Linked DNA regions of Cricetulus griseus. The protein of the gene in region 4 interacts with the protein of the main gene of each other region in a pairwise test. Links are inferred from orthologs where the notes say so. Each region holds a gene or a part of one and is shown on either strand. Other genes may lie near its edges. The genes, in order: Fosl2, Batf, Hsd17b14, Ddit3, Cebpe, CCAAT/enhancer-binding protein gamma and CCAAT/enhancer-binding protein alpha.

The links.
Region 1: the proteins of Ddit3 (region 4) and Fosl2 interact in binary tests that used the Homo sapiens proteins (3 or more experiments, as listed by UniProt). The two-hybrid records come from large-scale screens. The link is inferred for Cricetulus griseus from reciprocal best matches to the Homo sapiens genes DDIT3 and FOSL2.
Region 2: the proteins of Ddit3 (region 4) and Batf interact in binary tests that used the Homo sapiens proteins (3 or more experiments, as listed by UniProt). The link is inferred for Cricetulus griseus from reciprocal best matches to the Homo sapiens genes DDIT3 and BATF.
Region 3: the proteins of Ddit3 (region 4) and Hsd17b14 interact in binary tests that used the Homo sapiens proteins (3 or more experiments, as listed by UniProt). The two-hybrid records come from large-scale screens. The link is inferred for Cricetulus griseus from reciprocal best matches to the Homo sapiens genes DDIT3 and HSD17B14.
Region 5: the proteins of Ddit3 (region 4) and Cebpe interact in binary tests that used the Homo sapiens proteins (3 or more experiments, as listed by UniProt). The link is inferred for Cricetulus griseus from reciprocal best matches to the Homo sapiens genes DDIT3 and CEBPE.
Region 6: the proteins of Ddit3 (region 4) and CCAAT/enhancer-binding protein gamma interact in binary tests that used the Homo sapiens proteins (3 or more experiments, as listed by UniProt). The link is inferred for Cricetulus griseus from reciprocal best matches to the Homo sapiens genes DDIT3 and CEBPG.
Region 7: the proteins of Ddit3 (region 4) and CCAAT/enhancer-binding protein alpha interact in binary tests that used the Homo sapiens proteins (3 or more experiments, as listed by UniProt). The link is inferred for Cricetulus griseus from reciprocal best matches to the Homo sapiens genes DDIT3 and CEBPA.

The regions. Positions count from the first base shown.
Region 1 is NC_048600.1:12,321,797-12,325,296, forward strand, and holds part of Fosl2 (fos-related antigen 2), read right to left. Parts: intron 2,187-3,500; coding exon 2,079-2,186; intron 1-2,078.
Region 2 is NC_048598.1:118,099,470-118,103,592, forward strand, and holds the start of Batf (basic leucine zipper transcriptional factor ATF-like), read right to left. Parts: upstream 2,801-4,123; 5' UTR 2,546-2,800; coding exon 2,483-2,545; intron 202-2,482; coding exon 97-201; intron 1-96. UniProt on the Homo sapiens protein: AP-1 family transcription factor that controls the differentiation of lineage-specific cells in the immune system: specifically mediates the differentiation of T-helper 17 cells (Th17), follicular T-helper cells (TfH), CD8(+) dendritic cells and class-switch recombination (CSR) in B-cells.
Region 3 is NC_048599.1:154,464,429-154,468,723, reverse strand, and holds the start of Hsd17b14 (17-beta-hydroxysteroid dehydrogenase 14), read right to left. Parts: upstream 2,801-4,295; coding exon 2,713-2,800; intron 1,887-2,712; coding exon 1,848-1,886; intron 1,693-1,847; coding exon 1,610-1,692; intron 756-1,609; coding exon 689-755; intron 1-688. UniProt on the Homo sapiens protein: Catalyzes the NAD(+)-dependent oxidation of L-fucose, yielding L-fucono-1,5-lactone, which rapidly converts spontaneously to L-fucone-1,4-lactone. Can also act on D-arabinose and L-galactose, with lower catalytic efficiency. Does not use NADPH.
Region 4 is NW_023276806.1:130,434,180-130,438,227, forward strand, and holds the start of Ddit3 (DNA damage-inducible transcript 3 protein), read right to left. Parts: upstream 2,801-4,048; 5' UTR 2,586-2,800; coding exon 2,546-2,585; intron 339-2,545; coding exon 291-338; intron 1-290. UniProt on the Homo sapiens protein: Multifunctional transcription factor in endoplasmic reticulum (ER) stress response. Plays an essential role in the response to a wide variety of cell stresses and induces cell cycle arrest and apoptosis in response to ER stress.
Region 5 is NW_023276807.1:209,925,861-209,929,891, forward strand, and holds Cebpe (CCAAT/enhancer-binding protein epsilon), read right to left. Parts: upstream 2,630-4,031; 5' UTR 2,080-2,629; coding exon 1,570-2,079; intron 1,008-1,569; coding exon 672-1,007; 3' UTR 501-671; downstream 1-500. UniProt on the Homo sapiens protein: Transcriptional activator. C/EBP are DNA-binding proteins that recognize two different motifs: the CCAAT homology common to many promoters and the enhanced core homology common to many enhancers.
Region 6 is NC_048602.1:3,438,890-3,443,159, reverse strand, and holds the start of CCAAT/enhancer-binding protein gamma, read right to left. Parts: upstream 2,801-4,270; 5' UTR 2,646-2,800; intron 698-2,645; exon of another isoform or gene 466-697; intron 1-465. UniProt on the Homo sapiens protein: Transcription factor that binds to the promoter and the enhancer regions of target genes. Binds to the enhancer element PRE-I (positive regulatory element-I) of the IL-4 gene. Binds to the promoter and the enhancer of the immunoglobulin heavy chain.
Region 7 is NC_048602.1:3,363,748-3,367,870, forward strand, and holds CCAAT/enhancer-binding protein alpha, read right to left. Parts: upstream 2,801-4,123; 5' UTR 2,677-2,800; coding exon 1,561-2,676; 3' UTR 95-1,560; downstream 1-94. UniProt on the Homo sapiens protein: Transcription factor that coordinates proliferation arrest and the differentiation of myeloid progenitors, adipocytes, hepatocytes, and cells of the lung and the placenta.

The DNA.
Region 1 (3,500 bases), on a different chromosome or scaffold from region 4:
GATGAGGAAACCAAGGTTCTGAGAAGTTTGCCCATCTGCCCAAAGTTACAGAGCTAACGGAGAGGCCAGATTTGAATTCCAATGCATCTGACTGGAGTCTGTATGCTGCTACACTCCACCCCCATGATGCCAGTACCACCATTGGGTCCCCCAACAGGTTAGAGTGGGATACTCATAGAGAAGGGGAAACTCTGCTCACTCTACCATTTCAGCCCGCCAGGGGACACAGATGCTGAGCTGGATGCTGAATGAGAGCAGACTCCCACGCATAAACTCCTACCCTAAGCACTGGACCGAAAAGTGCCTGGCTTGTGATAAATGCTCAGCTGATCACTGATGGATCCTCCCTTTCTTATTCTGGTTTCTAAAGCCCACATGCCTAGACCAGAGACAGCAAGGGACACATTTAGTTCCACTGTGCCCAATAGAGGGGCACCTGACAGCCCATAAGAGCCTATGAGGATGCCAAGCTCACCAGGGAAGCCTCCACTCCCCTCCTTCACACAGAGCCAGAGCAGTCTGTGGATTGGAATGGCTGGGGAAAAGAGAGGCATGCGTCACCAGTCTCCTCCCCACTTTTTCTCTAACACAGATTCCCATTCACAAATGAAGAGATACGGGCAAGAGCTTCATTAAGCACACTATGGTATATGCCGGCGTGAAAAAAAAAAAAAAAGTTTCCATCTGTCTCAAGGGTCTGACGAACGTCAGAGGCTTCCTGTGAGGATGTGGCTCAGGGGCCTGGGTAGCTCAGGACGTGGGGGAGGCGGAGAAGTAGGGTGTGAGACTTCTGGGAAGAAGAGAGGAAAGCAGGGAGGACTCAGAGGAGTGGCTGTTCCGGGCTGAGGGATGTCCTCAGGGAGTCATGGTAAGGCATAGCTCCTTGAAGTAGGAGAGAATGGCTAGCAGTGGAAGTCTCCGCTGAGGGAGCCTCCATGGTGGGCTGATCACTCCCTGGTCTGCCTCATCTGGGAAGGAAGAACTTCTACCCTCATCCCCACTCTGACACCTCCTCAGGCCATGAGTACAGGCACCATGGGATTCACCAAGTATATATTTTAGTGAGTGTGCCCAAAAGTTAGGGCTGAGGCATGAAGGAAACAGCTGAAAGCAGATAAACTCCCTGGAAAGATTAAATAAATTCTAGATCTACTCGTCAGTCACTACGTGAGGACTTTGGACAATCTCTCGGCTCATCTCCTCCTTCTGAGAGCACTGTGTCCCAGGCTTGGGACCTCCTCTACCAGACGCTCAGCCCTTCCTTCAGGGCCAGACACAGAAGGGAGTTACGTGACATTGGTCAGGTCAAGCTCAGAAGAGGGAGGGGCAGGACCATGTGCCCCCTCCTCCAGGTCTGGGCAATTAAGAAGCATGGGACAGTGACTCACAACAAAGCTCTCAGCTCACCATAGAGGTGGGAAACCTTCCTGCCAATGAAGGATAGACGAAAGTTCCAAGAAAATGTAACTCAACTGACATGTGACCTGTCTACATGAGAGTGCTTGCTCCCACCCCACTCAAATCAGGGTGCTTCGGTCAGGCTGGGCCACCTTTGCTAACCTTGGGAATGGGGGCAACTGGAACCCTGAAAAGGAGCCATGGAGAGGCAGGTATTGCTGTGCCTGCCCTAGCTCCCTGGAACTATCAGCCCTCATCCAGGAGCCCCAGGGGTCTGACGACAGAGCACACTTAGGTACTGAGTGAGAAAACATACTGCCCAGAAAGGTGGTCTGCTCCTCTCTAGGCCTACACGATGGCAATGGCTGGTTCTTGTTTTGTTTGTTTGTTTTTTGAGACAGGGTTTCTCTGTGTAGCGTTGGAGCCTGTCCTGGAACTGGCTTCGTAGACCAGGCTGGCTTCAAACTCACAGAGCTCTGCCTGCCTCTGCCTCCCAAGTGCTGGGATTAAAGGTGTACACTGCCACTGCCTGGCTGATTCTTATACATTCATTTATCCATTCTTCCCACTCCCAGTTGAGCATAATGTTGACCCATGTGCTCAAAAGAATTTTCTGTCTCTCCAGACTCATCACTTGTAATGATAGTACTGGGAGGGCCACACCACACACAGCTCCTTACCGCCTGCAGCTTCTCTGTCAGCTCACGGCGACGGTTCCGACACTTGGCTGCAGCCAGTTTGTTCCTCTCCCTCCGGATTCGACGCTTCTCCTCTTCTTCAGGAGACAGCTAAAGAGGCCAAAGAGGCCAAGGTCAAGAGTCATGATCGGAATGCTGCAATGGTTCATGACATTTTAAAAAGCTGTATTTTAAGGACTACAAGCTGTCCTTTAGAATTGAGGAGGGAAAGAGATGTGTTGCCAGGCTCAGAGGTCCCCAGGGCATGAGGTCAGTACCTTGTGGTTGCCTGGAGGGAGCTTGTAGACGGCTCTGCTTTGGAATGTGACAAGGTGACGTTGCATGTTTAAGGGGACAGCAGACCAAGAGTGGGAAAGGAGCTCAATGGCTCTGCACCAGGGCAGGATTTGTCTGTCAGCTCTGTTTGAAAGCCTTAGGCAGAGAAGAGCCCTGCCAGCAAGCCAGGTCTGGCCTCACCTGCTGTAGCAGCTTCCTCCAAAGCCTAGCTAATTACCCTCCCATCACGCTCTATGAGCCTCACCACCACCTTTGGTTATGTAGAGTCTCCACATAAGTGAGATCCACCCATGGGGTGGGAGGGGTGCTGATGTATTGTCACCAGTGGGAGGGCCATGGGTACCACTGTATTCCCAACTTCCTCTGCCAACCAGAGTACCAGCTTCTCAGAGGTCTCCACGAGGACTCCTTGGAAGCCTGCCACAGTGCTAGGCTGGGCAAGAGAAAAAGCAGCCTAGGCATAAAAGTCCCACTGTCCAGCCTTTCTGCTTATTTGATTGATGGTGATCATCTATATGAGACATAATCCCAGGAGTTGGGGCTGTGAACTCAAGGACACCACCCACACACACACCCCCAGGAGAGATCAGGAACTAGCTCCTTCTGGTGAACCAGTCAGGGACAAGGAATTCTGTTCACACACACTGCCAAAGAGAACGCCATGGGCCAAAGCACAACACAGGATAAAGGGAAGACCTTCCCGTTCAGACCAGACAGGGGTGCATGCCTACTGTGTGCCTATGCTCTGCTAGGGGCTTCAAAGAGTCTAAGTATGACACCATGGAAAAGCTGAAGTTGCTCCAGAGAGAGAAATATCCCTAACTACAGACCACACCATGAGGAACAAGTCATTTGTGCTAGCTGGGCTGGGCTCAGGTCAGGACCCCAGGAAGCTCCCTCCCACCCTGGCAGTCCATGGCTGTGATGTCCTGAGTGGCCAAAAAAAAGCATCAAATGAGTAAATCCATTCCATCTAGATGACCCCACCGGAGGTCACAGGCCACTCAGCTAAGACCTGCTCCCAAACCTGTCTTGGTCCAAGCCTTACAAAGTTGGTAACCAAGAAAGCCTGTGGGTCTTGTGGCAGTCCTGGGTTGAGGTTTCTTTACAGCCCCTGGACTCCCCTGA
Region 2 (4,123 bases), on a different chromosome or scaffold from region 4:
CCACAGCAGAACCATCACAGCTGGCTCTCACAGCCCCACTGACGTGGGGTGAAGAGCCTAAGGCACAAGAGCACCATAAGAAGTCTGGGTACTCACCAAGTGCAGGGTGTCGGCTTTCTGTGTCTGCCTCTGTCGACTCTTCTGGGCAGCAATGCGGTTCTTCTCCCTCCTCTGAACTTTTCTTACATCGTCGGATGAGTCCTAACAAGCAGTGAAAGCAAGAACTAGGTAGGTCCATCCCTTTCTTCCAGTCAAAATGGGTTCTATCGTTTAACTGACTCCTTCCTTCCTTCCTTCGTTCCTTCGTTCCTTCCTGGTCCTCAGTTCCTTCTGTACCAACCATACTCTTATTTACAAAAAGCCTGCACCCAAAGACATTTCCTTCAGCATTCCCTGCTACCGGCCCTCAGGTTGCCCATGGCCTTCTTTTCATCAAAAGCTACATGAAGAAATAGCTACATCAAGGCTTCAGGAGGGCTGCTTTGGGAAGCCTCAGATAAGACAATGATATCTGTCCCATCACCTCTGCTCTCTCCAGAGCTATTCTACCCCCACATTCTCTATCTGGGGTGTGTGTGTGTGTGTGTGTGTGTGTGTGCGCCTGCCTTCTTGGTGTTCCTTTTGCTGTTTTCTTTTTTTCTTGAAAACTTTGTTGAGCATCCATTATGTGCCAATGTCTGTACAAGTGCTTTCAGAGATACTATGCTACAATCCCCCAGCTCTCTGAGCAGGTACAGTCATATCTATTTTACGCAGGATGAAGCTGAGGCTTGCCACGCTGGTCCTTGAGCTCATGGCCATCCATGGATATGACATCTCCTGGTGCTGATTCTAAAGCCTGAATCCCCTCTCCACCAGCAATTTTCTTGTGCTGCACCCTTAGGCAGAGGGCCCCACCCCAGATCTCTCTTTCCTTCATCCCCTTTATTGTGCAGCCATCTTGAGACCTTTCTAGTCCAGACCTTTGATGCCTGCTACAATGAGGGGCCATAAATAAGTCTATGAGTTGAGGTGGAAGCCACCTGCTTTAGAGAGCTACTAATGTGGACTTTGGAAGACAAAGCATGCTTTGGATGTAAGTAAGTCCTAAAGAAGATCAGGGAGGTTCATTCTAGCTTTGCAGGTCAGTGAAGACACTAAGAGAAGCCCTTCAGCAACTCCTACCTTGTCAGAGAGGTCACAAATCCTGGGGCCAGGCTCTGACCCTCTTCCCTCTTTATCCAAAACTTCCAGATCATTCTAGCAGGCAGACATTTGGTGAAATAGAGCAAGGAAGCACCCTTCTCATAATGCTGCAGGGGACGAGTTTACCATGGAACTCTGAGTAATTTCCTTCTTAAGAAGAGTATGGTACCATCTTCCACACAGTCTGAGCCACTCCAATACCATTGTGACCAAGGGACTGACTATTTTCCTGTAGAGGTCTTCACCGGTACGGCTTTTTGGTTAGGAGCTTACAGTAGGTGTAATAGCAGATGATGGCCTATGACAGATGTGGTAAGGGGTGGCTGCATATTTCTATTTTGGCTGCAGCATTTTGCAAGCCCCTGGGATATGTGTAAGGAAAGCACTCTGCCCTTGAGCGATATGCCCTGCCCTATATGTGTGCTAAGGAGAGGATGAAGTTTTTAAGTTACTGAGATGTAGAAAAGCTTAATCCAGTGGGTCTATGCTGGATGAGGAAGAGAGTTTTCTAGAGCAAGGGTGTCAAGAATGTGGTAGAGAGAGCTCCAGAAATTTCAAGGTGGGAAGGGCATCCCATCTGAGGCATCTCTCCTGCGCTGAAGCATCTAGGTTTGGCAATCAAGGCTCTAAGACTCCCAGAATCCTTCCCTCCGTCCCCGGCTTCCCAAAGATGATGTTAGCTTCTAGTTCAGGTCTCCAACAAACCTCCAGAGCCACTGCCTTCTTTCTCCTCTCTGGAAGCCTCAGGGAAAGACGCTGGCTGTGACTTCAGCCTCCCTCCCCACTGACTGTTGTAGTCACAGAGGCCGTCCCTGGGCCGGTAGATTAGTTATCCTTTCCTTCCTCCCTACCTTGCTTTGGCTTACTGTATTTCTCTTCCCTAACCTCGGTTCTGTCTGGCCCCTTGGCTCTTCCTGGAAAGCTACAGATCTAGGATTTGGGTGGAGTCCGCCAGCAGCCTACTGACAGATTCCTCTGCTAGCGGTATGAACCCTTCCTCTAAGTTCTGTGATATTCACCCTGACCCTTTCTTCCTAGAAAGTTTCACAGTGGGAACCTAAGTGTGGCCGAGATGAGGCACACTGCTAGGAACAGAGGAAGGGGGCTTGTGGCGGGATGAAGGCTTTGCCACTTGTACCTCCGAATAGCAAATACCACATCCAGACTCTGCTAGAGAGCACCCCGCCAAGTAGAGAGCTACTTCCTCCCCCCCCCAAAAGCTCCCCAGGCAGAACTGGGGAGTGTGGCCCTCTTCCACCACCCCAGGGTATTTAGAAGGCAGGGGATGTAGGGGTACCTGCTTGCCAGGGGGAGGAGAGCGGCTGAAGCTGGAGTCGCTGCTGTCGGAGCTGTGCGGCATGGCTGTAATCTTCCGGACTCTCCCACAACCGCCCAGATGCCCCTGGGCGATCTTCTCACTAGCTGGCTCCTCTTCCTGACTGCTAGGGGGCCACCGGCCCGCCACCTTCCACGGGTGTCTCCCTTGCTTGCCCGGCAGCCACCTCCGACGGCCCCCTGTGTCCTCCTGTCTCTGGGGTGCAGAGGGACTGCTCCCCAAAGGGACATCTCGCTTACTTTGGGGCTTGCGCACACGCTCTCTCTTGTGGTTTCTGGTAATTCAAGCTGGAAGTCACATGGGCGGAAACGTCAACAAGTTAGAAGGTAGTTCGAGAGAAAATACATATCTGGGAAAAGACCACAGAATTAGGTGAAAGAAAAAAAATACACAAAACCCCAGTTTCTTCCGGCAGTTTGAAAGGCAGAGCAAGCTCTCTTCAATTGATGGAGATAAAAGAGAAAAACAGCCAGGCAGGGAAAATCCCCAGCCAGAATTAGCAAGTCCTCTTCTGTCAACATGGCAGAGAGCGGGGAACAGCGGGAGAGAGTTTCCACCGGCACACGACTTGAGTTTTAAACACAAATAAAGCAACAAGACCGGGACCTCTTTCTGGGTTTCACCCGAAAGCAGCTGCCCACCCTGTTTTGGGTTGAGCCTTCCTCAGTCACCCACAGGACAGTGCGGGTGTTCTGGGGACAAAGGAGAAGGAGGGCACTGTCTTTTACAGACTGCCAAACAAGAAGTTGGGACTCTCTGAGAGTCACAGAGAGGCTCTGGAATGTATACCGTGTACACCCTGTCCCTTGCTTCCTAGAAAGTTTCACGGTGGGAGCATAAGTGTGGCAGAGTTGAGGCATACTGCTAGGAACAGAGGAAGGGGGCTTGTGGAGTTTACCATCACCTGTGCCTCTCAGCAGGGCTCTGACATTCTCCCAAGAAAAGGGATGCCTTCGGTGGAGAGGTTGACCTTCAGGAGTTCAAGATTGACCTTGAATCTTTAGGAGTCAGTCACCAGGTCAGAACCCAGCAAGGAGTGAATGTCAAAATGGGTGAGGGAAGTTCTGGACTTGTATTCAGATCAACAGTGATGAAAACCTACCTCCACCCCCACCTAAAACCTGCCCTGCCTACCTCTCAGGGTTACTGCAATGAGTGAGGAACAATTTGAATTGTAATGCCCCCATACCCTGTAAAGCATGCTATGGAGATGCTCATGCTTGTCATATGTGCCATGACAAAGCATGTTTGTAGTTTTCCTGAAGAATCCCATTCTCATCTTTGGTGATCTAAAACAGGTTTGGGGAAGAGAGATGGCTCAGCAGTCAATAGCACTGGCTGCTCTCCCAGAGGACTTGTGTTTTTCTATTCCCAGCACCCACGTGGGGGCTCACAACCATCTGTAGCTTCAGTTTTGGGGCCTCCAACTCCCTCTTCTGGCCTCCTCATGTACTAGGAAATGCACAGGGTACACACACACACACACATACACACACACACACACACACACACACACACACACACACACACGTGCAGGCAAAACATTTATACACATGAAAATAAAATGTCTTGCTATGTTCCCAGTGTGGCTCAAAGCCAAAT
Region 3 (4,295 bases), on a different chromosome or scaffold from region 4:
GATCCACTCTGCCTCCCTAGTGCTGGACTAAAGGCATGTGCCACCACCACCCTGCAGCTGTGATAATTCTTATTTCAAAGATGGAAACTGAGTCACGGAGATGGGGAGCACATAGCCTAGGAAAGAAGCTCAGGCTAGAGCTATGTATTAGGATGGGGGAGGATGGAGAGATGACTGCAGTTATGAGCACGCTCAGGCTGCTCTTCCAGAGGACCCAGGTTCAATTCCCAGCACCCACATGGCAGCTCACAACTGTCTGTAACTCCAGTTCCAGGGGATCCAACTGCTTCTTCTGGCCTCTGTGGGCACCAAATATGTAAGTGGTGAACAGACATACATGCAAATAAAAATACGTGCACGTGCACGTGCACGTGCACACACACACACACACACACACACACACACACACACACCACGAAGGCTGTGGCCTGAGAAGGGAGTAAACTGAGGTTCAGAGGAAGGGTTGAGATGCCTCAAATGTAAAGGCACTTGCCACCAAGCCTGAGAACCTGAGCGCAACCCCACATGGTACAAGGAGAAAGCTAATCCCCTCCAGTTGTACTCTGAACACCACACAAGTACTGTATGCCGGTGTGCAGATAAATGTAATCATCTCTAAGGGGAAGGAATAGGGAATAGGTTGTAAGTTGACATCAGGGGACACTAGGCCCCAAGCCACACAACTTACGGTAGCCAGCATTATTCACCACACAATCCAGGTGGCCAAATCGAGAGAGGGTCTCAGAAATCAGAGCCTGAGGAGAGAACAAACAGCAGGTGATGAGCAGTGAGGTGGCAGCCTTGGAAAAGCCAAAGCAAGGACAGGCTCAGTTGTGGAAGACAAGGTAGGGGGAGGGAGGAGAGGCTCAGGGTCACAGCGCAGGTCTAGAAAGAGGAGAGAAGGCAGGAAGCTGGGGGCCCAGACCAGAGACCTAAGCACCCACGTTGCTATTTGTCATAGTTAGGGTTTATGGCTGTGACCCAACACCAGGAGCGAAAGCAATCTGGCGAGGAAAGGGTTTATTTCTGCTTACAACTCTCAGGTTACACGCCATCACTGAGGGGAGTCAGCACAGGAACTGAAGCAGAGACCATGGAGGAACACTGCTCATGGCTTGCTCCCTGTGGCTTGTTCAGCCCCCTTTCTGCCGCTATGTGATGTCACAACCCCCAGGGGGCTGGGGGCTGGGGGCTGGGCCCTCCCACATCAACTACTAATTAAGAAAATGCACCACAGCCCGTTTGGTGGGGCCATATTCTCTGTTGAGTCCCCTCTTCCCAAGTGACTCTAGCTTGTGTCAAGTGACCAGCACCGCCATAGAAGATGAATGCGAGGGCAGAAGACTGAGTCCGGGAAGAAGCGACGATAGATCCAGAGGGGGCGGGGAGCAGACAGGCAGAGGCAGGGACACAGAGACAGGGCACAGACTGGGGACAGACCTGGGGACACAGAACTGATTCTGAGCGCAGGGGAATCAGAAATGACAACAGAGGGTGTGGATTTCAAGTTCTGCTTGATCTAAAGAATGGAGCGAGAAGGGGCAGATGGACTGTGCTCACTGAGCTGACCCAGGGCACGGAGAAGGGGGAGTGCACTGGGAACGCCCACCTGCAAATCTCCTTCCTGAGTCACATCACAGGGGACGAAGACAGTGCCCAAGAGTTCCTGCTCCAGAGCCCGGCCCCTCACCTCTGCAAGAGAAAGACTCGGGTCTGAGGGAGGGAGCTGAGGCTTGGATCAGAGTCTGGGGAGGAGCTTGGACTCCTGAGTCTGGGGTCTGAGGGAGCAGGGCTGGCCTTGGATCCCTGCGATGACGGAAGGAAGGCATAGTTGAGGACTGACTTACCATCCTTGTCGCAGAAAACAACTTGAGCCCCACTGTCCACTGCCAACAGAGAGAGGAGAGAGAGAGAGAGAGAGAGAGAGAGAGAGAGAGAGAGAGAGAGAGAGAGAGAGAGAGAGAGAGAGAGAGAGAGAGAGTGAGTTATGGACCCTGCAGACTCGGGGCGAGCCTCTGCTGCCTCTTGTGACACGGAGAGCACCTGGCTCTCGGCAGCTCTCGTGACTGCCTCGGGACAGGCCTCTCAAAGGGCAGAATTTCCCTTCCTCTGCTCCACCGCCATCCTAGGTTCCAGAAAAATCCCAAACCTAACATTCCTCAAAGCTATCGTTTGTAGCTAGGGACCCATCAAGGGAAGAACTCTTTTTGGCTTTTCGAGAGGGTTTCTCTGTGCAGCCCTGCCTGTCCGGGAACTCTCTGTGTAGACCAGGCGGGCCTCCAACTCAAAGATCCACCTGCCTCTGCCTCCTGGCCAGGCAAAGAACTCTTCATAAAAGTCTTATCGGCACCAGCAGAAGCCATCACTACACCAGCTTACCCAACAGTCCAAACCGCCTCATGTAAGAATGAGACTGAGGGCCGCAGAGATGGCTAAGTGGCGAAGAGCACTGGCTGCTCTTCCAGAGGACTCGGGTTCAATTCCCAGCACCCACACGCTCACAACTGTAACTCCAGTTCCAGGCGATCCAACACCCTCACACAAACGCAAAACAATGCACAGAAAAAAAAATAAGAATAGACAAATCACTAAGGAATGAATAAATCATTTTAAAAAGAGTGAAACCAGGTCTCTCCCTCCCACTCCGTGAATCTGTCACCCCACCCCACCCTTTCCCACATTCAGACATCGGGCAGGAAGACCCTGACTCACCGAAGGCTCTGACGATCCCAGCCCCAATGCCTCGACCACCCCCGGTCACCACCACCACTTTCCCGGAGTATCGGTTTACAGCTGCCATTCCCAGGTGACTTGTCTTGTCTCCCACGCCCTCGCCCTCCCGGCCTCTTTCGACCTCCAAAGTCCAGGAAAGCAGTGGGATGGAACCAGACAGGCTGGGTCCTTGTAGGCTGGCCCTGGAGGGGTGTTCCCGGGAGGGCCACACACCTGCGAACCTGCCTCAGACCTGGAGGTTGAGTCCTAGCTTCTCTTTCTCAAACGCTGGGGTCCCCACCCTGACACTCCTCCTTCAGACTCAGGGTCCTGGCCCCAGCCCGCCCCCATCACGTTGACTCTAACCCTGTTCCTGAGACCCATAAGATCAGCACCTCTTCCTCTGACCTAGAAAAACAGGCTCTCCAGCCTCCTTCCCCAGACACAATATATCTGGCTCCCAACTTCCTCATACTGTTAATCACTACCACAATTTGATCCAAATTTGGAGCAAGCTTGTCTGCCTTGTTTTTATTGGGATTCACTCAAGAGCTGGCCAGTGACTGCCTGCTAAATCAGGTTAAAGAGAGCAGCCCCGAATCCACCTCTTGGACCTCTTTTAAGAAGTAAAATCACAAGTAGTTTTACAGAAGGGAGAGAATGGGACAATAAGAAAATACAAAAAAAAAAAAAACTTAAAAAGTCATGAGGTCACCCATCATGTGATTAGGGAGGTGTCAGGGAGGGGTCAAGGAGAGCCAGGGTATTCTCAAAAACAAATCAAGGTCAGATTCCAAAAAACAGAGAGCAGCTCAACTCTCACAGTAAATAGAAACTTATTTATTTTTTATTCTTTTTGGATTTTCCAGACAGGCTTTCTTGCCCTGCAGAAACTTATTTTTTTAAAAAACTGCATAATGGAGTCAGACCGGTTCCTCGTTCCCCCTTGACTTGTGTTTCCCTGTCAAGTCCATGATGGGGGTTGTCTTAATAATATTCTCAAGCAGCAGTGATTCTAACATTGTTTATCTGACAAGTGATCAAGTTAGTGACACACTGGAGGGCACAGGGCCAGATTATGATAACAAGTATAACAAGTAGAAGTTGGGCGTTGGTGGTGCACACCTTTAATCCCAGCACTCGGGAAGCAGAGGTAGGTGGATCTCTGTGAGTTCAAGGCCAGCCTGGTCTACAAGACAAGAAAGGCTCCAAAGCACAGAGAAACCCTGTCTCAAAAACCTCCCTCCACCCCAAAATCGAAAAAACAAACAAAAAGCCAAAAAAAAAAAAAAGAGATAAAAAGTAGAAGTAATATTACAGGGCCAGTGAAGGGGGAGAACCATCTTAGCCATATTGGCCAGGCCAAGTTTATTTGAGAGACTCTGTCTGTTTCTTTACTTAGGTCACCAGTTTGGTTGTCAATAGTGTTATTCTTTTGTTTAAAAAGAAGAGAAGAGAAATGCTTAGACATGAGACATATTGACTATAAGTTTATTATAAGGCCCGGCAGAATGGGGAGACTAAGAGAAGAAGAACAGGGTAATGGCTGACCGCCATGGCCTGTCGCCATAGAGAGAGCGCAT
Region 4 (4,048 bases):
ATTTGTGTTCCTTTCTCTTGTGTGGGAAGCTTGGGCAAAAGGTCCTTGGGGTTTGTCTAACCTTGGTGTGGACTGAATCGGAAAGACAAGCCAATTGCCACTGTTGAGGCTGGCTGTGAGAGCCAGCTTTCATTTGGGAAGTGCTCTAAAAATAATGTTATGGTGTCAGAGAAAGACACAGTCTGACAGCAAAAGCTTGTTGAAATCAAATTCTCTCTAACTACTGTCCCAGCAAAGTGACCCTAAGCAGCATTGGGAGTTAACTTTGAGAAGGGGTTGGTGAAGTTTACCTGCTTTCAGGTATGGTGATGTATGAAGATACTCTTCCTTCTGGAACACTGTGGAGAACAGAGATACATGTTTACTGTCTGAAGGGAAAGAAACAGGGTCTTTACCTCTAGCCTTTTATCCTTTGGTCCTTCTCTATTCCCCTCTCGCCCCTTCACAGAGTTTCTCTGTGTAACTCTGGCTATCCTAAAACTAGTTCTGTAGACCAGGCTGATTCTCTCTCTCTCTCTCTCTCTCTCTCTCTCTCTCTCTCTCTCTCTCTCTCTCTCTCACATACACACACACACACACACACACACACACACACACACACACACACACACACACGTGCGCCAATTCCAAGGACAGAGGCAAGCTTGATTTTATTTTTAGTTACTGACATTTGTCCTGATTACATAATAGCAACATCCTAGCCAACTAAGCTTTCTCTAAATTCCAGATAGACCTCAAATCTGCCAGAGTGAGGGCTGCACTACAGGGAAGAGAAAAATATGTGGGTGGCACTTGCTACATATACTCCAATATCATATTGGCCGCTTCTGGTCTAGACCTGTCCTGGGACCTCCAACTCTGTTGTCTACTTGCTATATCACCTTTTGAATGTCTATCAGGCATTTACAACAATCTCCTGCTGGCCTTTCCTTTCCTAGGTTGTATTATTCTAAGTGGCAACTCTACTTGCTTAAATCAAAAAAAAAAAAAAAAAAAAAAAAAAGGTATCCTTGCTTCCTCCTCTCACATCCCCACAACTCAGTATAAAGCAGCACAGGCAGCTTTAATACATTCTTTTTAAGTACCTAAAGCCTGAGTATTTTCTTTCTTTTTTTTTCAAGACAAGGTCCTAGAACTTGCTCTATAGACCAGGCTGGTCTTGAACTCACAGAGATCCACCTGCCTCTGCCTTCCAAGTGCTGGGATTAAAGGTGTGGGTTACTGCCATCCAGCAAGCCTAAGTATTTCTGTTCCCATTATTTCCAAATGGAAATCAATTTACCTCACTTCCCGAAGATTACTGTGGAAGACTCATTCAAGAAATCTCCCATTTCTTTTTTTCTAGACAGAGTCTCACGATGTAGCCATGGCAGTCCTGGAACTCATTATGTAGACCAAATTGGCCTCAAATACACACAGATTTTATTACCTCTGCTTCCTGAGTGCTGGGATTAAGGTGTATGTCACCATGCTCTATCAAGATCTACCATTTCTATTCCTGTCTTTTATTAGTTTAGTTTCATAGTTGGGGGTTGACCATAGGTCCTCTATAAGCTAGGCAAGCAGTCTACCATTGAGCTACATTCCCATCCTTTTATTTTTGTATTCATTTGAGTCAAGGTCTCACTATGTAGTCCTGGCTCCTGAACTCAGAGATTTGCCTGCCCCTGCCTGAGTGTTGGAATCAAATACATATGCCATGACACTGGGCCTTATTTCATTCCTCTACCCAGATCCCTCCAGTGGCTTCCTGTTTACCCCACCCTCTCTCATATTCACTCCCATCCAGCCACTGCCCTATTTTACCAGACATGCTTTATCTTAACCCTTCTGCTCCCACAGTTCCTTCTGGAAAGCTCGTTTACTCTATCTGCATGGCTCACAGGCTTGCCTTCTCTGGATCTTTCACTAAAAACCCCAGTGAGGCAATTCCTAACACCCACAATCCTGAGCACTCTTATTTGTCAGCTCTTGCTTTCTGCAGAAATACAGGCCCAGGCCGAATTGAGATCAGTTTTATCTTTTGCTCCTCATATACTCTGGGTTCTCAAATGCTTGGCACATAGTTGATGTTTATTAAGCATTTGTTAGGAATGAATAGGGAAAAAGCCACTCCCCCAATTTCCCCTACAGAGAATGGAGGGCTAAGCCCAGAGGCAGAGCCGGTGCTGCCTATCTCTGGGGACTGGAGATGCAATATTGCCCTGAGTGTTTCTCTGCAGGGCTGTCCTCTGGGGGAAACTCCCTCGGTTTTCCAGTGTGTGGGGCCTGGCTTTCATCAGCAGTGGAGCCCCAGGCCAGAGGGCGCAGAGATAAACAGTGGGCCGGCCTGACGCAATGGTTACAGAGATTAGTGAGGAGTGGACTGGGGAAAGAGACAGAACTCAATCCTAGGAGCAGCACAAGACCCTGGAGAGAGCCCAAATAATGTCCCACGGTTACAGATCCAGGCTGCTCTCTTGTACAGAAGCCTCCGGGGAAAAGGGGAAAACCCATCTGTGCTCCTCCCACCAGCACCCCGCTAGCAAAGGTCTGTCAGTCTTACGATTCTCTTGAACTTTAGGGTCAGCGACTAAGGTGGCCATGCTGGCCCCCGAGGAGCTTGGGAGAGCCGGGGATAACGAAGCTGTTGGATAAGAGGGGGAAAAGCCAGAGTCCTTTATATGGGGGTGTGTCCTGCTGCCCCGCCTTTCACCGGACAGGCCTAGGATGGCCCGCAGTTCGCCGTACAGAGGAGGAGGATGGATCTCCCGGGGACAACCAGAGTCCCTCTGCCTAACGGCACAGTCTAACTAGGCAGGGGAACGGTGATGCAATCGCCCGTAGGAAGAGGGGTCATGTGAGCGCCACTCCAGGGTCAGGGACTCCCGCCTCCATCCCTCCCTCCGACTACAGGGCCACTTTGGAAGGGGTGGGGCTACATCCTCCAGAGCAGTCGCCCCCAACTTTATGGACTAGCCATGCTGGCGAGAATGGGGAAAGAAGGGGTAGACGGCGTCGGTACTCGCCTCGCTCCTCAGGTCCCGGCTTTTATTTTGGCTCTGTCGCTGCCACCCGTTCATCTTCAACATGATATGACCGAAGTGTGAGACTCAGGCTACTGACCTCTGCAGCGCCGAGAGAAGATATTTTATGCGGGCCCGTCCCCTCTTTTGGGGGCGGGACCCAGGAGCCTGCCAATCAGAAAGCGGCACGCTGGCACTGACTCCGCCCCACCCCTCACATCCGCCACTCAGGAGCCCCCTCGGCCCCGCCTCCGCCCCGCCCTCTGGTTGGAGAGCTACGTTGTCTCGGACCCGGAAGTGGCTTTGGGTCACGAGGCTCCGCGGAGGAGGTGAGTGAGTCATGCACGCGCGCGCGCGCGCGCGCGCGCGGGCGGGCGAAGGAGAGTGCGGCGAGGGAGGGATGACGGGGGGCGGGGATGATGCAATGTTTGGCAACCGGTGTCTGCGCGCGCGCACGCGCAGGGGCCGCCGACGGTGGTGGGAGGCGCGGGTGGGGGGGTGAGAGGGAAGAGGGCGGAGCGCCAGCTCCCAGTATCCAACGGCCCCAACGGCTGTCCTTCCTGAACTTGTCTGCCCAGGAGCTGCGGCTCTGCCCACCCACCTCCCATCACCTCCAACTTGCTCCTCCATCCAGACTCCCAGCTTCCCGGCCCCTCCCAGCTCATGCGCGCCGAGGCCCTGGAACCGCGATAAAGTTTCCATTAGTCCTACCTGGACTGACATCTTCTCCAGCCCTTTAGAAGGGATCTCATCTCTTTTAACCTCCTAACGCTTCCCAGAGGCTGAGGTCCTGGCATTTCCATGGTAGTCCACCCGCTTGTCTCGGGGGAGCACCTTTGGCGTTTGTTTCTGAGTCGCCCACTGCACGCCAGAATTCCTGTTCTTTGTAGCGTGCACCCGAGTCCCACCCCCTACTTATCGCACCCCTGCTCGGCGCCCACCCTTTCTCTTCTCCCTGACCGCAAGTCCTGTGACTCCCTGCTGAGCAGCGGGCCTGTAGGAGTCTGGGGTCATGACCTACAGTAAGGACTGGGACGTGCATG
Region 5 (4,031 bases), on a different chromosome or scaffold from region 4:
GTTCATCTTCTCCAGTGTTAGGGAGCCAGGGCCTAGGGGATGAGAAATAAAGATAGGAGTGGAGATGTGGAACAAGAGAAGAGAGACAGAGAGCTGGGTCAAGAGCTAAGGGACCACAAATATGGCAGAGTCATTAGAAAGTCACCTGGGAAAAGAGCTTCCAGGCCTTAAAGCAAGAAAGCGGGCCTAGGGTCAGTGGGCCTGGCACTGGTGCTGTGCAGTGTTGGGATCACCCTGAACCCCAGAATTCTTCAAGACAAGACAGTCTGCAGAGGCTGCTGCAGGCCCTGGCATGAGCAGTGGTGACACCAAGCAAGCTCGGCTGGAGAGAGTTGTGGGCAGCAATTACTAGGTTTATTTACTAGGTGTTCATGTGTACACGGATACAAGAACATGTGAACCTAGCCACATGTATTCCCTGCCCTCGGGGTCTTCCATGCGTGTATATGCACAGCCCTCCCACCAGGCCCAGGCCCGAGACCCAGTGAACAGCTCCAGCATCAAGTCACACTGCAGTTTATTCAGCAACAGAATCTTTATGGTCCCGACCTTCCCAGCTACTGGCTGCCATTGTCCATGATCCCTATTTTAGGCATCGTCTGTTCAGGACTCTGGGGACCGAGGAGGGTAGGAGTCCTTAGGGTCTGGTGTCCATAGTCTGCCAAGCAGGCTCAACTGCAGCCCCCTACACCCTTGATAAGGCTGGCAGCTTCAGGGATCTGGCGGAAGAGGTTGCGAAGGGTGTCTAGCTCCTGGGTGAGCTGCTCCACACGGCTGCGCAGGCGTTCGTTTTCAGCCATGTACTCCAGCACCTTCTGCTGTGTCTCCATAATGCGCCTCTTGGCCTTGTCCCGGCTCTTGCGTACTGCAATGTTGTTGCGTTCGCGTCGCAGCCGGTACTCCAGGCTATCTTTGTTCACTGCCTTCTTGCCCTTGTGTGAGGGCCCAGCTGGGGAAGGTGCCTTGAGTAGGGGGCTGCAGGGAGGGGCAGCAGCAGCCACAGGGGCCTGGAGGGCAAGTCAGAGGGACAGAGAAGTGAGGGTCCATCAGCAGGCAAAATAGGGGCTGAGCAGGAATCCCAGCAGCAAGGGCACACTTGGGGCTTCCAAGGAATAGAGGGCTCCCAGGCCGCTCCCATCTCCCAGTCATTGCCCTTTCTCTGTGAAAGACGGGAACCCAGATGCACTTGGTATTTGGTTTGAGATCAAAGCTGTCTTTCATGCTCTCATTTTCTCTTAGGACACTTTCCTTTGGTTTGTCTGTTTTAAGTCTCCTGTTCTACAATTCTACAATCAGCAGTATTTCCTCTTCCAGAAGCACACAGCCGAGAAGCAAGAGAAGGGGTATATGGACCGCAGATTAGGGCAGAGCAGCTACCACAAGGTCTTCAGGACACAGTGGAGCTCGGAATTCACGGAGTGGGGAAGCGAGGCCGTGGAGTGGGCCGTTTTCACAGAGGAGCACCAAACATAGACTTGTTGGGTAAGCCCCATGTCAGAGTTCCCTCATCCAACCAACCATCTTGCTCCAACCCGGGGAGGAACCAAGGGAGAGCTGTCTTGGTCTTACCTTGAGGACGCGTAGAGGCTGGCCAGGTGCTGCCAGGGTCGGGGGAAGGTGCACTGCTGTCTGCCCACAGTGTGCCACTTGGTACTGCAGGGGATTGTAGCCGCCTCGGCTGGTACCTCGGCTGCCCTCTGGCCCACGGGGCTCCTCCTTCACGGCCACAGCCCTGGGGTCGTAGCTCCCTGGGTTACCGTAAATGCCAGGCCCCAAAGCCTTCCTATCTGGGCCAAACGTATGTGAGGGATAAGCAAATGGCCGAGGGTCAGCCGGCAGGTAGTGGGGGAACGAAGGGGTTCCTGGGCCCTTAAGGTTTCGGGCTTCAGGTGCTGGCTTCATGGCAAAGAGGTCAGAAAGTAGCTGCTCTTCCCCAGACTCGATGTAGGCAGATAGGTCGATGGAGGCCTCATGCTCACACATGTCCCCCAGCTCCCCGGGCCCAGCTCGACCCCCTGAGAACTCGAGTGGCTGCTGGCCACCCCGAGGCTCACACTCATAGTAGGTCCCGTGGGACATAGCCGTCCCGCCCCTTTGGCTCCCCGCCCCTGGGTCCTGTGCTGGGGCACTCCTTGGGATGAACGCTCAGCCTGCCCTCTCTTGATCTCCCCCGGCCCTAGAGTTGCCCTAGGTCTGACCTCTCTGGTCTTTTCTGTCCCCCACTCCTACGTGGCTTCTCTCCTCCTCCTCTGCTTCCTTTTCCTTCTGTAGTCAGAGCCTCTCCTTTCTTCCCTTTTCCCCTCTCTCCTTGGTGTGAGTCAGGGAGGGGCAGGGCACACCCCAGAGGGAGGGGTGCTTAGCAGTTAGGGCGCTCTTTGGTGAGGCCCCAGCCACAGTCCAGAAGTTGCTGTTTGGGAAAATGTCCCCTCTTGTCCTATTAGGTTAAGGGATTCCAACCCCTTGTCCAGGGTAGCTCCTCTGAGTGTCTGTCTTCCTCCAGCTTCCAGAAAGATCTGTGCAGAGTAGGGCACCAAGCCAGAGCCAGTAGAGAAAGCACTCCTCCAGTGCCAACTTGGTCTAAACTCCTCCCTTGAGCCATCTTCCTCCCTGTCCCCCCAAGTCCTGAACTCCACCTCCCCGGGGGGTAAGTCAGTTCCTTGTATAGCCCCACCTCCCACAGCATTCTCCCCAGTGTAGGCATCATTGTTTGAGGGTTTTGGGAAGTAGTAATAGATTCTAGGACCAAGCCTCCCCTGGCCCTAGCACAGGGCACACTCATTTGCTAGTTTTGAGACAGGGTCTCACTATGTAGTTCAGGCTGGCCTTGAACTCGCAGAGGTCTGCCCGCCTTTGCCTCCAGAGTGCAGCTTTATTAAGGGTCTTTGGCTTGGTCTTTGTACAGGGCTTGTTCACATGCTTCCCATCCTGGCTACCTCTAGCAGCCTGCCACAGTTTGCCTGGACATAGCTGAGGTTTCTGGTCAAGACATGGGCCCTGAACCTCACAGGCTGCTGCCCCAGAACAGACAGACAAGATCCATGGAGGCCCCAGTTGCTCCACCTTCACTGAAAGAGGCTCAGGCTGACCCCACCCCACACTGGCTAGAGGCTCTGCCTCCTACTTCCTGTGCTCTGGTGTGCATGCAGGCTCTGGAGCTCACTGTAGCTTCGTTTGCTGTCTTTCCTTCTGCATGACTGTTTTCTGACCTCTAGTGTGTCCACTTCCTCTTGTAAGCTTGAGAAGTCTTCTCTCTTGTCCTCACCTCTTCTTGGGGATGTCTCTGCGACCATAGGAGAAGCCTGTAGTTGCCTGACTGTTCTTCATTGTCCACTAATCCCCAAATTTCACTTTTCTTTTCCTTTTGGGAATGCCCTGCTCCCTAGTCAGAGGTATCTGTTGTGGTTCTGGTTTTCTAGAGCCCTTCAAGCAGGGCTCCAGGTTTAGTGGCAAGAAAACACGTAGAAATGAGAAATGTGTTTCCTTCCTTCCTTTCTCTCTTTTTTTCCTTTCTTTCTCCCCCCCCCTTTTTTTTGAGACAGGGTTTCTCTGTGTAGCCCTGGCTATCCTGGAACTTGCTCTGTAGACCAGGCTGGCCTCAAACTCAGAGATCCACCTGTCTCTGCCTCCCGAGTGCTGGGATTAAAGGTGTGTGCCCCCACTGCCTGACTCCTTTTTATTTGTTTAGGCTGAGGCTCCCTGTTTGCCTAGGCTGGCCTTGAACTCTCAGTCTTCCTGCTTCAGCCTCCCTAGAGCTGAGTTGACAGGTGTGACATCATACCTTCTTGTCTCTTTTATTACTAACATGTTCTGGGGAGAGGGACAGATTCTTTTTTCCTTTTCTTTTTCTTTTCTTTTTTTTCCAAGACAGGGTTTCTCTGTAGGTTTGGAGACTGTCCTGGAAATCACAGGACACATTTCTTTTTTAAATGTCTTTATTTTTTAAATTGTAGGGGTGTGTGTGCACGCACGTGTGTGCGTGTGCATGTGGGTATGTGCACACTTCGAGGTTTCCAGAAGATATCAGAAAGATA
Region 6 (4,270 bases), on a different chromosome or scaffold from region 4:
TAATTGTGTTCCATCTTGCTACTGGAAACCCATGTCTATGGCTCCAAACTACAGGCCCCCAGCCTCTACAGTCCCTGCTCCCTGATGCTAACTCAAGGCCACTACCAAGTGCTCCCGAATGTCTGTTTTCTTCCCTTTGTGCTTTCTGTCCAGTCCACTCCCCCAGTGTCTTTGGAACTTCAGCTTCTGTGTCTCCATGGAGACTGTTGGAGGCAAGACCCACGGAGGAGAGGACACTCCACTGGAGGATGTGAAGAAAACGCCATGTTTCTTTGAATGTTACCCTTTAAACCTTTTCTAGCACATTCAAAACAAAAATGTTTAGGAATATACATTTATTAGGAGTTCCTGTTCAGGTTTTGGTGAGGTATGTTTTTTGTTGTTGTTTTGTTTTGTTTTCTTCTCCTCCATCCCCTTTGACAGCAGGGGAGAGCAAAGGGATAGGCAGGGAACCAATAAACTTACTAGTCATTACTGTGACTGAGTGAGGCAACTTTCGACCTGACCGGGTGCTCTGTCTCTTTCCCATGACCTCAGGAGGGAAGGTTCCCAGGGGCTTTCCTGGGGATCATTTAATGCGCCAGGGATGGAGGCACCTCTCCAAGATCACAGAGCCTGGCTGACAATCATGACGTGCTTGTGAGACTTTAAAGACGCTGGGGGAGGGGTGGCGTCTGTTCCCACCTATTTGTTTCTCCTAGGTAACAAAAATAACTGAGTCAGCCAAGCAGGTCCACCAGAGGCAGGAAACAGGCTCAATTTTTTTTTTCTTCAGCTCAGTTAGCATCCTGTAATTATTGACAGTTTTTCAGAAACAGGGAAATAACCCTAGGGGCTGCTTATCAAACAGCAGAAGACCTCAGAGCTCTCTGAAGGCTTGGGGTGTGGCTCAGAAGCAGAGGGGCTTGCCTACCCACCCCGCAATGCATTCTCCTGTGTAGCATTCCTCAGTAAAGAAAGCTTCATGTGAAATGTTCCTCAGGTCTGCATTGGATGGTGTTCTATTCGAGTAAAGGATTCAAAGGGGGTGGAAACTCGGGAGACACCACCCCCAGCTGTTGTGCAACCCCAAAGGTTAAAACCTTTCTAAAATTGACACATCTTAACGATGAGGCTTACAATATATAAAAAATAAAATAAAATAAACCAAACAAACAAAAAAACAAAGCCCTCACACAGGAGCAAAACTAAACACGCCAACCTTCCTGAGACCACACACACACACACACACACACACACACACACACACACACACACGCTCACACTCACCCTTGCAAACACACACACACACTCATCCTTGCAAAGACACACACACACACACACACACACACACACACACACACGCTCACACTCACCCTTGCAAACACACACACACACACCACACACTCCTTGCAAAGACACACACACAACACACACACAAACACGCAACACGCTCACCCTGCAACACACACCCACACACACACACACACACACGCTCACAGTCACCCTTGCAAACACACACACACACACACACACACACACACACACACACGCTCACAGTCACCCTTGCAAAACCACACACACACACACACACACACACACACACGCTCACCCTTGCAAAGACACACACACACGCGCACACACGCACACGCTCACCCTTGCAAACACACACACACACACACACACACACACACACGCTCACACTCACCCTTGCAAACACACAAACACACACACACACGCTCATCCTTGCAAAGACACACACACACACACACACACACACACGCTCACAGTCACCCTTGCAAACACACACACACACACACACACACACACGCTCATCCTTGCAAAGACACACACACACACACACACACACACACACACACGCTCACCCTTGCAAACACACACGCACACACACGCTCACCCTTGCAAAGACACCATCCATCCACCCCGTCACACATGCTCGCCCGACCTGGGGACCTCGGCGGGCTCATTTTCCCCCGCGTTCCCTGCAGCCGGACCTGCTGCTTGGCGGGGAACCGGTGGCGGTGGTGGTGGCGGTGGGTGCGCGATCCGGGTCGCCCTCCCGGTCCCCGTCGCGGCTGAACCGCATGTCCTCAGAACCCAGACCAAACAATGCCCGTCTCTTGCAACCCTGTGTGTCTGAACGTGCACGGGGCGCTTCCCCTGGGTGAGCCGTCACCAGGGTAACAGCTCCAAAGGGGACCGGGGGCCTTCCCCACCTCTCCCCGCCACCCCGACCGAGCGACAGACAGCACGGGGTGCTAGGTGGCTCCAAACGAGCACTGGAGGGTCCCCCTCCTCCTCCCCGTCCTCCTCCTCCAGGGCACCCTCCATCACCCCCGGGGGCCGCCCGGTCCTCCATCCCGTCCCCGCCCGCGGCGGAGGGGGCGCCCGGGCCGGGCCGGGCCTGGCCGCGGCCAGGGATGAGCTCAACCCCGCCGGGTGTTGCCCGCAGGTTGCATCAGACGCCGCTCGGGGCCCCCGCCCGCGCCCGCGCCGCCAGCCGCCGGCCGCCGGCGAAGGGGCCTTCCGGGCCAACCTGCCGATTCGGGCCGGGCCGGGTCGCGTCGGGCCCGGGCCGGCACCTACGCGAGCGGCGGGGCTCGGCCGCGGCCTCCTCTCCTCCTCCTCCCCCGACCCCTCCTTACCTGCGCCTCCGGCCGGCCCGCCGCCCCCAGGCGACCTCCACTCCTCCGAGCGGCCCCGCGCGCCGCGGCCCGACCCGACCCAGGCCCCGCAGCCCGCGAGTTCGCCGAGGAGGAGCGACGGTTACGAAACCGGCAGCCTCCGCCCGTTCCGCCGGCCGCCGCCGCCGCGCCGCCGCCGCCGCCGCCGCCGCCGGCTTTCCCCCGCCCTCCTCGTCGTCGTCGTCGTCGTCGTCGCTCCGCGCGCCGCCGCCGCCGCCGCCGCTACGCCGCCGCTGCCGCCGCCGCCGCGGCCAATAGGAGCCCCGGTCTGCGAGGGACGCGCCCGCCCCTCATGACGGGCAGCGCCGCCAGCCAACCAGAGGCCGCGTGGCCTCGAGGGGCGGGGCGTGGCGGGGCTGGTGGGCGTGGCGGCACCGGCGGTGGCTGCAGGCGGGCTCCGCGGTTGCTCGCCCCTTTGGCTGGCTGGCTGCTGCTGCTGCCATGGGCGGGCGGCGGCGGGAGTGACCCCTGGAGAATCAAAGTTCTGAGTTGTCACCTTGCGAGGCCCTCGGCCGCCTGCCTTTGGGAAGCGACGCTTCCTGGGGTGGATTTCTGAGTGGCTTGAGTTTTGTGTTAAGGCCTTAGGGCGCTGAGGCTTGTGCAAACTTTATGATTATTATTATTATTATTATTTTGACAGCTGCAAGAGTTAAGGGTTAGCACGCTCGACACCCTCGAGGACTGCGGGCAAGCCGTGATTTCCCAAGCGGGCTCGCCTCCGTGAGGACAGGTGATGGGCAGCATGCATGGCACGGTCTCTGAAAGTGAAGAGCGGCCCTGGTTCTCCCAAACGGTTCACAGCAGGAGCAGAAAAAGCACTTTTGAAAAACAGGAAGCAGCGCGCTGGGTGGAGGGCAGAGCCCAGCCTGATAGGGTTTGATTGCTTCCTCTTTAGCAATGCTTATCATTCAGAACTCGCTGGCTTGCAAAGGGGAAATGTTTCTTCATTGCCAAGGCCAGGAGAGCAGGTCTCCACGTAAGACTGTTTCGAGGAATCCCTGGGAGATGAGAATAACTTCAAAAAGGGGGGAGAAAAGAGCAACCGCAGAGAGTGAACCCTGATAACCCTGTGCACGCTTGGGAAACTGAGAAGGCAATCAAGACCAGTTATGTCTCTTCAGGTTCGGACCTCTGTGTTATGAGCCAGATTTTCTTCAAGGCTATCAAAGTTGGACTGTGCTTTGTCCCTCACAAAATCATGATTTTTTTTTTGTAATCATATAAAACTACGGAAAATAAAAGCAGCCTTGCGTATCACATACGCATATTGTTGAGTTAGCCTCTGGTTTGCCAGCCGCTCTGTTTTCTGTGTTGTTGTCTAGACAAGCCTTCCACACCCAGCAGTCACAAAAAAGCCCAGGAGTCTTGAGATTTCCTCCTCACCAGATAGCTGGTAGCACTTTCCCTGTGTACAGACGTGTTTGGTGCCAACTATGTGCTGAGGTGTGGACTAAGCTGGAAGTCAGCAAGGAAGAAGGCAAACGCACAGTCTCAGCCCACATGAAGCTTACTCTGAGAACCAGAGAGACATGGTTCCAGCACCACTTTCATAAAGACACTTATGGGAAAAAAGTTATGATGCCTGG
Region 7 (4,123 bases), on a different chromosome or scaffold from region 4:
GCTTGAGACCTCAGACACAGAAAATGCCATTTCAAATGGAACCCAGAACACACCTTACAAGTGGCTCCTTTCTGGTTTTAAAAAGACACCAAAGTTGAGTTTGATATGTTTATATTATAGATATAATACATACGACATCTAGCATGAAACTTTGTGTGTGCCCCCTCCCCCCAAAGAAGAGAAGGTAGCAGTCCACCCCTGCTCCCAGCCACAGGGGTGTGCACGAATTGGCTGGAGGTGACCTTCTTTCCAGACCCAGAGCCAGGGCCTGAGGGTGGGGGCGGGGGAGGATGCCTGTGTATACAGTAGTCTCAGCTGGAAGAAGCTAAGACCCACAACGACACCCTGGGAAAACTGGAGGGAGGGTGGTGGTCCTCCGGGAGCAAAAGAAAAAAAAAAAATCCCCAAACCAAAAAGGAAAGAGGGCCCGAGCTTCTTCCCCCAGCCGCTAGCGAAGAGTCTCATTTTGGCAAGAATCTGAGCAAAACCAAAACAAAACAAAAGGACCAAATAAAATGGTGGTTTAGCATAGACGTGGACATTGACATTGCACAAGGCACCGCTGGGACACAGAGACCAGATACAAGTGTTGATATCGGATGATAAAGCAAAATATTTGGGAAGCTTGTCATAACTCCAGTCCCTCTGGGATGGATCGATTGTGCTTCAAGTTCCTTCAGCAACAGCGGCTGGCGACATACAGTACACACAAGGCTGATGGTCCCGGTGTCCTTTCATCCCCTCTCCCCCCAAGACCAGAAACTTAGGTTCCCGTCTCCCACTACTCCCTTAATCACATGGCTAACTTACAGCCTAGCTTTCTGGTCTAGCTGGGGGTGGCGCCCCCCATTCTCCACGAACTCACCCAGGAAACTTAGCCTGTTGCAAGCTGAGGTGCGGAGTAAAGGTGGAGGTGGGAAAAGTAAGAACCGTGCACCTCCAAATGGATGAGGGGGAGGGGTGCGGGAGGGGTACTCTTACAGACTCAAATCCCCAACTCCCTAAGTCCCTCCCCTCTAAGGACAGGGACGGAGGGGCAGCAGCGGAGCGCTGCCTGCCGGGATCTCAGCTTCCTGAATCTTCTTTCTCCTGCCCTGGGCCTGCACCCTTCATGCTCTCATGGGGGGGGGCCTGCCGCAGCCTCGGAGAAGGCAGGGATCCTCCAAATAAAATATCAAGGCACATGTGTGCTCCCCCTACTCGGTAGGAAAAGGAGCGAGTTCTGAGTATCCAAGGCACAGGGTGACTTCCTTACTTAATACTAGAACGGCCGGGCGGGCTCCCGGCTCAGCTCCGCGGACAAGTCTCCCGGGCTCCAGGAGAAAAACTGCGGCCTGACTCCCTCATCTTAGACGCACCGAGTCCCGGCTCAGAGGAAGGGAGGGGACACGCGGAGTAGGCCAAGCTCTCAGACGACAACACCGCCATCTCCTAGTCCTGGCTTTCACGGGCCCGGGGCAGCCTGGAGATGCAGCGACCCGAACTCATTCTCCGGGTCCCCGGCCAGGGGTGGGGTGGGGTGGCCGGCCCAAAGGCGGTGGGGTCCCGCAGCCGCGCGCCTCACGCGCAGTTGCCCATGGCCTTGACCAGGGAGCTCTCGGGCAGCTGGCGGAAGATGCCCCGCAGCGTGTCCAGTTCCCGGCTCAGCTGCTCCACCCGCTTGCGCAGGCGGTCATTGTCACTGGTCAGCTCCAGCACCTTCTGCTGCGTCTCCACGTTGCGCTGCTTGGCTTTGTCGCGGCTCTTGCGCACCGCGATGTTGTTGCGTTCCCGCCGCACCCGGTACTCGTTGCTGTTCTTGTCCACCGACTTCTTGGCCTTGCCCGCGCCTGCGCCGCCGGCGCCCCCGGCGCCCCCGGGGCGGAGGTCGGGGTGCGCGCCAGCCAAACCCTTGAGCGCACCCCCGGGGGCGGGCAGGCCCGCAGCCCCCAAAGCGGGCGCGGGGTGCGGGCTGGGCACGGGCGTGGGCGGCGGCGTGGGGTGGCCGGGCTGCAGGTGCATGGTGGTCTGGCCGCAGTGCGCGATCTGGAACTGCAGGTGCGGGGCGGCCAGGTGCGCGGGAGACGCGTGCGGGTGCACCGGCGGCGGCGGCGGCGGCGGCTGGTAGGGGAAGAGGCCGGCCAGCGCCAGCTGCTTGGCCTCGTCCTCCTCGCGGGGCTCCTGCTTGATCACCAGCGGCCGCAGCGCCGGCGCCCCGACGCGCTCGTACAGGGGCTCCAGCCTGCCGTCCAGGTAGCCGGCCGCCGTGCAGCCGTAGCCCGGAGGGGGCCCGTGCGCCCCCGCGGACATGACCGCGCCGCCGGGGCCCGTCGGGGCGCCCGGGTAGTCAAAGTCACCGCCGCCGCCGCCGCCGCCACCCGCGGGGCCCGCGGCCGCCTTGGCCTTCTCCTGCTGCCGGCTGTGCTGGAAGAGATCGGCCAGGAACTCGTCGTTGAAGGCGGCCGGGTCGATGTAAGCGCTGATGTCTATGGACGTCTCGTGCTCGCAGATGCCGCCCAGCGGCTCCGGGGCAGCAGGTAGGGCTGGGGGAGGCGCGGGGCCCGCGCCCCGGGGGAAGCCGAAGGCGGCGCTGCTACTGCTGCTGCTGCTGCTGCTGGTGGGCGCGTGCGGGGGACTCTGGAGGTGGCTGCTCATCGGGGGCCGCGGCTCCGCCTCGTAGAAGTCGGCCGGCTCCATGGAGGAGTTAGAGTTCTCCCGGCATGGCGAGCCTCACGGCGGCCTCCAGCCTGCGCGTGGCGCCGCTGCCTCCGCCGCCGCTCGCCCGCTCACCGCCGCCCGCTCGCCGCCCGCCCCGCCGGAGCCCCCGACTCGCTCGCGCGCCCCGCGCAGCTCCGGGTCGCGAATGGTCAGGCCCGCGCGCGATCCGCTCTTATAGGGGGATCGGACGTCGCCCCCTGGTGTCCAAGAGGGTCCCGGGCCCAGGGCGAGGGCAGCAGGGCGCCTGCTGGGTCTTAGAGCCCGCTGTCTGTCTCTCGCTCGCCCTCTGTGTTTCTCCCAGGCGGCGAGCGGGGCGGGAGCACCGTGCAGGGGGAGAGGCGGTGGCGCAACGCCCACTGCCTCCTGCGCTGCGAGGCAGCCCGGCCTGCGCTCGGCCCCACCCTGGCGGCGCTGTCGCCCCCGCACACACGTGGTCCGCGGCTGGGCGCCCCTCCTGCAAGCCTGCCCAAGTCACCCGCTTCCAGCCAACACCGGGGAGCCCGGGAGCATCCAGAGGCCGAGCAGGGAGGGGTAGGGGTAGGGGGTGGAGAGGGAATATTCGTCTTGAGCTACCGGGGTGCAGACTGGTCTTAAAGGCTAGGACTAGGCCTGTCCCCCCCCCCCCCCCAGCCAGGGACCTAGCTGCTTTGTGACTTGCTTTGGAGCGGCGACCTGGCGCGCGCCGCAGAGTGGCAGGGGCCGGAGCGCTGAGATTGTGTGTGTCTCTCTCTCTCCACTCCAGGCGACCCCGCTGATTATTCCAGGCGGGGCGCCTCTTCCCCGCCCAGCCAGCCTCCCTACCCCGGGGTCCCGCGGGATCCGCCGAGCAGGGCGCTAGGACCCAGCAGGGAGCGAAGGCGGCCGCTAACCCGGGAGTCCCGAGGACCTGGCCGGTCCATCCGCTCCGGCTGGAAAACTTTCTTTTTAATTACGTCTCCCGGCCAGAGCGCCGGGGTTGCTAGGCTTCCAAGGCGGGCGCTGCTGCCTGGTGTGGAGCCTCTAGCCGAGCGCTTGGGACCTCGGGACCGGCGGGTGGGTCCTCCGAGACTCGGGGAACAGGACACCAGGGCAAGCGCGCGGGGGCGGGGAGAGGGCAGGGTGTGGGAGAGAGAGGGAGGGAGAGAGAAAGACAGAGACAGAGAGGAGGTGAGCGGGATCCCCAAGCGGGATCCTTAGTCAGGAGCCTAAAGCCACAGGTTTCTTTCCCTCCTGTCATTCGGGTGGGCGCCAATCTCCGTCGCCTGAGTGTCCAGTCCCTGGCTACGGAGTCTGAGCACCCCCTGGGAGTACCCTGTCGGGTCCCGGGGATCCTCGGGGCCGCGCCGCCTGCAGGCTCGCAGCTTGGGTAGGAGTTTGCCTGCATAGTCTCCCCAGCCACGTGGCGTTGGCGACGGGCTCATTCTCCACCTGGATCGCGGCCGTGGAG